Xenopus tropicalis: one gene and its partner. The protein of the gene in region 1 purifies or fractionates together with the protein of each later gene. This does not show direct contact. Links are inferred from orthologs where the notes say so. Each region holds a gene or a part of one and is shown on either strand. Other genes may lie near its edges.

Region 1 (4,463 bases):
GATCAAGTGTCAGGGTAAAGAGTGACTTGGCAGAGTAGCGTAAGCTTCCCTCCTTAGTATATGTAAAAATAAAAGGTTTCTGCCTGTGTCTTGAGGTATCTTCTTGCTTCCCACATAGTTCCACTGAGAATCCTTTAGAGAAAAGGCGGCATGGGCGAGTCCTGAGCTCAGAGACATGTGACCCAACAACTGACAGCTTTCCTCTCTCTCGCACATAAACCGGTCCTGTCTCCTCGTTCCTCTCTGGCTCAAGGCACTGAAACATCTTCTTACAGGAAAAGAAAAAAAGTTTTAAGCAAATGTAATATTCCATTCTAACTTAGCAATTGTTTATTGGTGTAATAGGGTAATGCCCCTTCAGTTTATTAGAAGTGATCTCACCTTACCTTTCATCCGCAAAAACTAAGTAGTTTTGTTTCACTGCTGTTTATTAAGGACACTGCATCTTGTCTGAATGACAGAGGTTTTCACTAGAAAGTATTTAGGTCAAAGCTATTTATTTCCAATTAAAATTGTGACTCATGCAGACTCTTTATATATTTATATGCTTACAAAATCTAGCTTGTCCTGAAACAAGATAAAAATAAGACTAAATTGAAACACTGAGCTGTAAATCTCACCCCATACATCTAGATGAAATAAATCACAATGAAAAAGGGGCTATGGAAAACAATATATATAATAATATATATGACCATCTTTAATAAGATATATATTGCCAATGTAAAAGAAAATGTAGAGTCCATATGTGCAGATAGAGCAAGGGAACACATATTAGCAATGGGTGCCTTTATAAACAAAGTAAATTAAGAATGCAAAGGTGATTATAATTCAAAAAGGAAAAAGCAGAGCTATAGCCTAACACTGTTGTTTTCTAACAACTTCTTTGGACCCTACAGTCCTGCACTGGCTAAAACTAGGCTAGTTCATAAGAATGTCAATATAAAACAGTGATAATTACAAGGTAACGGTGCATTATATTAAAGTTCTTTTTTGTGTAAGATTACCATCAAAGATGATATTTACTGAATACACATGCTGTAAGTTGGGTGTCGTGCATGACCGCACACAAACCCTTGATTCAAAATGAATGTTAATGGTTCTGTAATTCAAGGCAGCGCTGTACAGTAACTTCCTATTCCAATCGGTTTACAGTCTAAATCAAATGCTAATTCTCCTAGGAAATGAAGGAGCTTCCCATCTCAAATCCACAAGCATAAAGAATAAAAAAAAAAACTTCCGAGTGTGAGTTTTGATCACCACACGCTCATGGTGACACCATAACGGACAATATTTACACATAAACTATAAAACCAGAGACTCACCTCTCTGCAGAGACCAGTAAACTGCACCCGGAACGTCTGCTCTACGGAACCTTCCCCCCCGGCCGCGCACACTATATACGCTAACTCGGGAACACAGCTCTGGCACCGGAAGACGTTCCAAATTGCTAGGCAACGGCGTAACAACAGGGGGGAAAGTAAGTGGAGCGAATGTGAAGGGGCTGCTTGTTAGTTCCACGCCAAAGCCACGGCCTGAGCATGACACGGGCAGGGGACTTGTGCCTGAGTTGTGCCGGAGCCCGGGTCACACTGGCTACCAGCAGCGATGACAGACACCCGGCAGACAACATTATAGACGGGTGGGTATTGATGTGCTCAGGCTTTCTCCATTAGTAGTACAGCCATGCCGGCTGCTGCGGGGATATTATTCTCACAATGTAATGTTCCCAGTAGTTTTTGTTGGCTACCTGTGGCAAAATGTTCCTGTTTGCAATTTTTCTAAAAGCTGTAGTGTGTGTTATAGTGCTTGAGCTTGGGCAAGTACTGATAAATAACTAATAGCATACAAATAAATAGAGGACCTAGACATTAAAGAAATAGTTCAGTGTAAAAATGAAACTGGGTAAAATGGATGGCCTGCGCAAAATACAAAATTTTTGCAATATAATTAGGCAAAAATGTAATCTATAAAGGCTGGAGTGGGCAGATGTCTAACATAATAGCCAGAACTTTACTTTTTGCTTTCAGCTCTCTAACCTCTTATGGTGGCCATACACACTAAGATCTGCTCGCTTGGCGAGGTTGCCAAGCAAGTGGATGTTCTCTTGATATCCCCAACTATGGGTGGGCGATATCTGGCTAATTCGGTCGTTTGGCCAACATAGGCATCTGCAGGATCCAACTGATTTTTAAACCTGCCCGATCAATATCTGCCCCATTTCAGGCCAGATGTTGGTCGGGCAGACCCGTCTTTAGTGCCCATACATGGGCCGATAAGCTGGCGAATTGGTCTTAAAGGACCGATATCGGCAGCTAGAATTGGCCCGTGTATGGCAGCCTTTAGTTAGTCAGTGACTTTACGGGGGGGGGGGGGGGGCTAGGGGGCTAGGGACATGGGACATAACTGTTCAGTTAGTTTGTGAGCACGCAGGTCAGATTCAGTAGCAAACTGAACAGTTATGTCCCATATGCCACCCCCCTCAAGCCACTGATTAGTTACTTTGACCGGCCCTGTCAGCACTGTAATTGTAAAATATTTGAAGGAGCTTGCGTCACTCAAAACATTGATGCACAAGTGGTTTCTATAAATGTGTTATTTTTTCCCCACCTACTTCTCACGATGTCACTTCCTGTTTATTAGTGGTCAGGTTGTGGGTAAGGCAGTTGCAGATCAGGTAAAGGGCCAAAGCACGTAAAAATGCAGGGCAGAGGTCTGGGTTGGGTTTCAAAAATTGCGCAGGAGTCTATCAGGGCCTACTTCAGATCCTAGTATGTACCTGGTTGCATTGGTATGTTGGGCTCAACCAGATAATACTGTTCAGACTTTGTTTTTCTCTCATACAGTTACATAATTATGTTATGTTTTGTTTAGAAACCCAGACACATTCTGGACAACGACTGGTATGTATCCTCAAGAATTCATAATCAGTTTGAATGGCATTCAGAAAATTAACAAGATCATCCTCCAGAGCTCATTAGGTAAAATGGAGAAATCATAAATTTAGTTTTTGCTTCTTCATCTTTGGCAGTTAACTTTGAATATTATTGTGTAACTGATCGTACCATGTATTTCAACTTTACTTCATGTCATAATATTATAATGCAATAAAAGTATAGGTTGTTCCCTAGAAGCCCATAAATTTATATTTTTCATTGTGCCACTCTCAGGCTTTGAATTTTAACTGGTTGCTAAGGCTTACCTGTCTAGGAAATCAGGCATCAGTTTAGATGTTAGGATGGAAGATGAAAGTAGTGGGATAACAATGCAAAAATGGTGAAATATAAAGTATGGCTGCTGGATCAGTGACCCCATAAAACACAGAGATTTTTTTTGTTGCAGGGCAGAAAGAAGTAGGATAGCGAATAATTAAAAACCAGAATAAATAAGAAAGTAGACCGTTTGAAAAGTTGCTTAAAATAGGTCTATCGACAACATACTAAAATTGTTTTAAAGGTAAACCTCCTCTGTAACTCTTTTTCCCACATGGTTGAACTCTTCATTTATCTTTATACTTACTGGTGTTTTTGCTCTCTGCAGTTAACTAAATGCATTTATGACTCACATTTCATAATTTTATTTTATTATTCCTTTGGCCTTTATGGTTTTCAGTACGATCTGTAAGAATTGAATCAAGCACATCCAAAGAACCTGTAAACTTTGAGCTCCGTCTAGAAAGAGGTAAGCAATTAAACATGCACCATATTTAAATTTGATAAACATTCTGTATTGTGTAACATATGCAACTTTAATGAACTATAGAAGACACTTGGAAGATAAGCAGTAGGATTCATGATACCCTTAAAAGAGTGGGGTACTACATGTTAAGACTTTTTTTTGACAAAACAAACTTTTTTAGATATGTGGCATTTTATATGTTTACATTTGTAAATGCAGTGTTTTCCTGAAAATGATTGATAATAAACGTACTTAAGCATAGTGTAATGCTGGCAAAAGAAGCCTTTTGCCCACCAGCAGTCACAGATCTTCAGCTGGCTTCATCTGTAGTTTCAGAAGTTTCCTATTTCTAGTCAAATATTTTCTTCTGAACAATTCTTGGAGAAAATGATAATGAATTAGGGATCATTTTAGATAACAAACAACCATCTGCAAAGTGCAAAAAAAAAAGGCCCGGATGGGTGTGTCTTGCACACAGCCTTTTGGTCTTTGCGAATTGCAGCAGGTCACTGTGTTCTGTTTTGGAGTGCTGTATTGGTGAGGTGAGCTTGTTGGTGCTATATTGGAGGCGCCTATGTTTCTTACCCCTACCTGTCCCTAACTTGCGCATCTTTTAGACATATAAGTTAGAGAGTGACAAAAGACCCAGGTCATATAAGGGCACTGTGGTAAGGACAGGGCAAGCCTACACCTTGTGATGCCGCACTATGCTCCTTGTGCCTGGTTTTCAATCTGAAGCCAAGTGCAGAGTGTAGCATTTCCTGGGACACAAGTGCTGGAAATAT
Region 2 (4,344 bases), on another chromosome or scaffold:
ATTCTCAAGCTCCCCCCAGCGTCCTCCCCAACATTCTCCAGCTGCCCCTTACCTCCAGTGTCTTCCCCAGCATCCCCCTGCTCCTACCACCATCCGGCTGCGCCCCAGGGCTCTCCTTCTCCTCCTCGTGACGTCACACGCACCTGTTAGCGCCGCAGCTTCTGCACTGTGAAGGACTTTATGTTAGAACTGAACTGAGCAGAACTGCGGCGCTAAGGGAAAACGTGCGTGTGACGTCATGCGGGAGACCTTTAAAAGCGGGACAGATCGGCGGCTATCCGGGACAGCGGGACGGGGTAGCAAAATCGGGACTGTCCCGCGTAAAGCGGGACAGTTGGGAGGTATGACACAAGATACTTTATGGCCATTTTTCTTGCCTTGCCTGTTGCCTCTGGCTTAAAAATTAGGCTTGTACTCTAAATACCATCTCACTTTCTGTTCAAACTCCATTTTTACCTGAGCATAGACTAATTTAGGCTCCAAACAACCAAACGTGAATTTCTGGCAAGTAGAGGATCAATGGCTAAATGTCAGGAAAGGAAATATATCAGAACACTAGTACCCCTGTCTTGATTCTCCAAATATCTTCTTCTGCCATTGTTGACCGCATATACAAGGGATGCACTGAATCCATTATTTCATCATTGATTTTGCTGAATCTTAAATCTTCCCCAAAATATTATAGTGAAAGCCTGAACCAAATCAATGCCTAATTTGCATATCCAGATTTCAGAAAATAGTCAGCTAAAGACTTTCTTTATATAGTGCTGATATGTAGCCGAAAACACAAATCCTAAATGTGTTGCAATCCTTACAGGTACAAAGCCTGCTTTCTGTTGCTATATGAAGAGCACTGACACAAACATTGCTCCTGTTCTGATCCCAGCAGCGTTTCTCGCCCTTCAGCAGCCATTCCATCTGTCTGCCTCTCCTCCCGCCGGCCAGCCTGTCAGGTGTCTCCCCTTCAGCAGCCATTCCATCTGTCTGCCTCTCCTCCCACCGGCCAGCCTTTCTCCCCTTCAGCAGCCATTCCATCTGTCTGCATCTCCTCCCACCGGCCAGCCTGTCTCCCCTTCAGCAGCCATTCCATCTGTCTGCATCTCCTCCCACCGGCCAGCCTTTCTCCCCTTCAGCAGCCATTCCATCTGTCTGCCTCTCCTCCCACCGGCCATCCCTTCAGCTTGTTTCAGCAGGGCAACGCTGCACTTCCTGGTTACAGCCGGATGTCATGTAAACAGGAGAGATGTCGGGGGCGCGCACACACTGAGGGGCTAGTCGCCATATCACCTTTCTTCAAAACTGTATCCATACCATGGTGAGGAGATTTACTTGGGATTTTTTTGCCAAATAGAAGGTAAATAAATACAATGCAGCTGGACATGGGTATTAGTTAGAGGGTGTAGTTTTTATTTTTTTAATAAATTTTTTTGCTGTTACTGTTCTAGAACAACATATAATAGAATTCTTTTCAACCAGCAGACCAGTAAATGCTACCTCTTTGGTAGCTATGGTGTGTATTGTATTTTTTTTTCAGTAGACATTTTTGATTGAAATTTTGCAAGGCCATATTCTTTAACAACAACCTATTTGTAATTTAAGCTTACTCTACATTTCAAACAACTTGAACAATCGGGGACACATCAAATAATTGCAAATTATTGGCTTATAGTGATTTCAAGCTGACTTAATTTCAGTTAATTACAATCAGTGCAGCTCTTCTGCTGGATATTCTAAAAGCATTTTTACATTTACATGAACTTGCAACCTTACTTCCACCCAAAAATGTTTTGTTTTTTTTTCATAGAAAATGTAATATATATATATATGCCCCCTGCCCAACCCTTATAGAGATTCCAATGCAAGCAGTGTCTGCAAGGGGAGCCCACAATCTCTAGTTAATGCACTGATAGCCCTTTTAAATTGTATGGCATGCTTAGAGATTTACAGGGTGAACCACCTACAGCAATGGGAATGGACCCACACTGACCCATCAGTAGATGGAATCAAAATTCCATTGTGTACTGTTCACTTTTGGGGATGTAACACAACCCACATATCTTTTGCTTTAGCTGTTCCTTGAGAGTTGACAGATTGCTGTTTCATGTCAGTCCCCTCCGAAGGCATCCGAATGCGTTTTTTTCATAATGATCGGTATTTTGCGATTTTTCCATAAATTGTTGCAACTTTTTCGTAGCCGTTACGACTTTTCCGTAAATTGTTGCGCCTTTTTCGTAGCCATTACGATTTGCACGAATTGTCGCGACTTTTTCGTAGCCGTCGCGCCGAGTATGAAAGTTTCGGATTCATTCAAGCTTCAGTATTGTGACTTTCCTTGGGCCAGGTTGGAGCTGCAGAGTGCCATTGAGTCCTATGGGAGGCTTCCAAAATCATGCAAAGTCTGAAAGGTTTGCCCGCCGTTTACGAGCGCTCAATACGAAAAAGTCGCGACAATATACGAGCAAATCGTAACGGCTACCCCTTATCCAGAAAACACCAGGTCCCAAGCATTCTGGATAACAGGTCCAAGGACCCATGCCTGTAATTATCATTAAAGGTAAATACAATCTTGTGCCCATTTCACTTTGGATCCTAAGTGGCACATTTACTAATCCACGAACGGCCCGAAGGCATCCGAATGCGTTTTTTTCGTAATGATCGGTATTTTGCGATTTTTTCGGAAATTGTCGTGATTTTTTTGTAGCCGTTACGACTTTTTCGCATAATGTCGCGACTTTTTTGTAGCCGTTACGAATTGCGCTAAATGTTGCAACTTTTTCGTAGCCTTCGCGCCGAGTATGAAAGTTTCGGATTCATTCAAGCTTTAGTATCGTGACTTTTCTTGGGCCAGGTTGGAGCTGCAGAGTGCCATTGAGTCCTATGGGAGGCTTCCAAAATCATGCTAAGTCTGAAAGTTTTGCCCGCAGTTTACGAGCGCTCAATATGAAAAAGTCGCAACAAGATACGAGCAAATCGTAACGGCTACGAAAAATTTGCGACAATTCGCGCAAGTCGTAATGGTTGCGAAAAAGTTGCGACAATTTACGAAAAAGTCGTAACGGCTACGAAAAAAAAGCAAAAAATACGAAAAAGTCGCAAAATGTTCGTTTACCAATCGGAAATTTTCCAATTCGGATTCGTGGGTTAGTAAATCAGCCCCTAAATGTATGCTCTTTCACATCCTAGCAGCATGAAATGTAATGCTAGTGTTTCTTAATTAGAGCACTCGGTCTATATATGCTATAAGAACTCCTTAGATGGCACAGAAAATGGGCCAATTTTTTTTACTACTTCTTATTAAATGCCTACAAAAAGCTTTTATATAAATTCCTTTCTAAAGTGTGTACAAAAAGCACCTTACCCAATTTCCTACAAATAGCTTTTTAATGCAGAGCATCCGTGGAGCCCTTTGTAGTGAAAGTCATTGGGGCTCTCTCCATAAAGAATCAAGTTTACAGATGGCCATCAGTGATTGCTGCTGAACGTACATCCAGTCCCTACTGGAAAGTACTAACATTACCCATTAAACACAGGAAGACGAGCATCATGGGCAATGCAGTGATGCAAAAGAGAACAATAAAAATGAATATTAAATAGCCACATATCTATAATTGGAAAGATAAATGTTGACAGCAAAATCATTTGGAATACATTCACATTAAGTCCCTTAATTATAATGGCATTCACACTGTATAATGGTATCTACATGTTGTAAATTATTCAGTAAAAAAATACATGGTTTGTAGCTAGTTAAGACTTTATCAATGCCCAAATCACAGCAGAATCTGCTTGGTCATGTTGTCTGTGGGGCAGGTTTATCAATATTCAAAGTTAACTTTTTACTGTGATCTGTGTTTTTTGCAGCAAAAATTTTCAGTTTCGAAACTCAAATTTTCAAGATTTATTAAGCACAAAAAAAATAAACTCAAAAATTATTTGTCACCTACATGCGGTCAAGTTTATACAGTCAAAAGGAGTTCCATTTTCAAAATTCAAGCTATTTTTCAATTTCAGTTTCCGGGACTAATTGGAAATTGGGCAGACCTGAAAATGAAGGGCAAAATGAGATTTCATTGTGTCTGATTTGCATTGTAATGTTTTTATATATTTAATATTTATATTTTAATAAATTAGCTCAAATTTCGATAATGCTTAAATTCCAGTGTTGATAATTCTGTCCATACAGTATGTGTCTATTTCAGCCATAGGCTGGCAGGGTCAGACAGGACTGAACTCCCCCACTACATGCTGAACTCACATATTCCCCTCCGATAGTGATCCCGATGGCAAAGCCCACCCTGTTTGTATCACTGCCGTGGCCATTACATCACAAACCCATCCCCACCC

The links.
Region 2: the proteins of hspb11 (region 1) and ift22 purify together in Homo sapiens (affinity purification with mass spectrometry; 3 studies listed by BioGRID and IntAct, with this or other methods). This does not show direct contact. The link is inferred for Xenopus tropicalis from reciprocal best matches to the Homo sapiens genes IFT25 and IFT22.

The regions. Positions count from the first base shown.
Region 1 is NC_030680.2:97,386,602-97,391,064, reverse strand, and holds the start of hspb11 (intraflagellar transport protein 25 homolog), read left to right. Parts: upstream 1-1,440; 5' UTR 1,441-1,541; coding exon 1,542-1,642; intron 1,643-2,874; coding exon 2,875-2,981; intron 2,982-3,612; coding exon 3,613-3,681; intron 3,682-4,463. Other genes in the region: lrrc42 (leucine-rich repeat-containing protein 42), read right to left, coding at 1-265. UniProt on the Homo sapiens protein: Component of the IFT complex B required for sonic hedgehog/SHH signaling.
Region 2 is NC_030678.2:47,033,383-47,037,726, forward strand, and holds the start of ift22 (intraflagellar transport protein 22 homolog), read left to right. Parts: upstream 1-1,286; 5' UTR 1,287-1,315; exon of another isoform or gene 1,316-1,354; intron 1,355-4,344. UniProt on the Homo sapiens protein: Small GTPase-like component of the intraflagellar transport (IFT) complex B.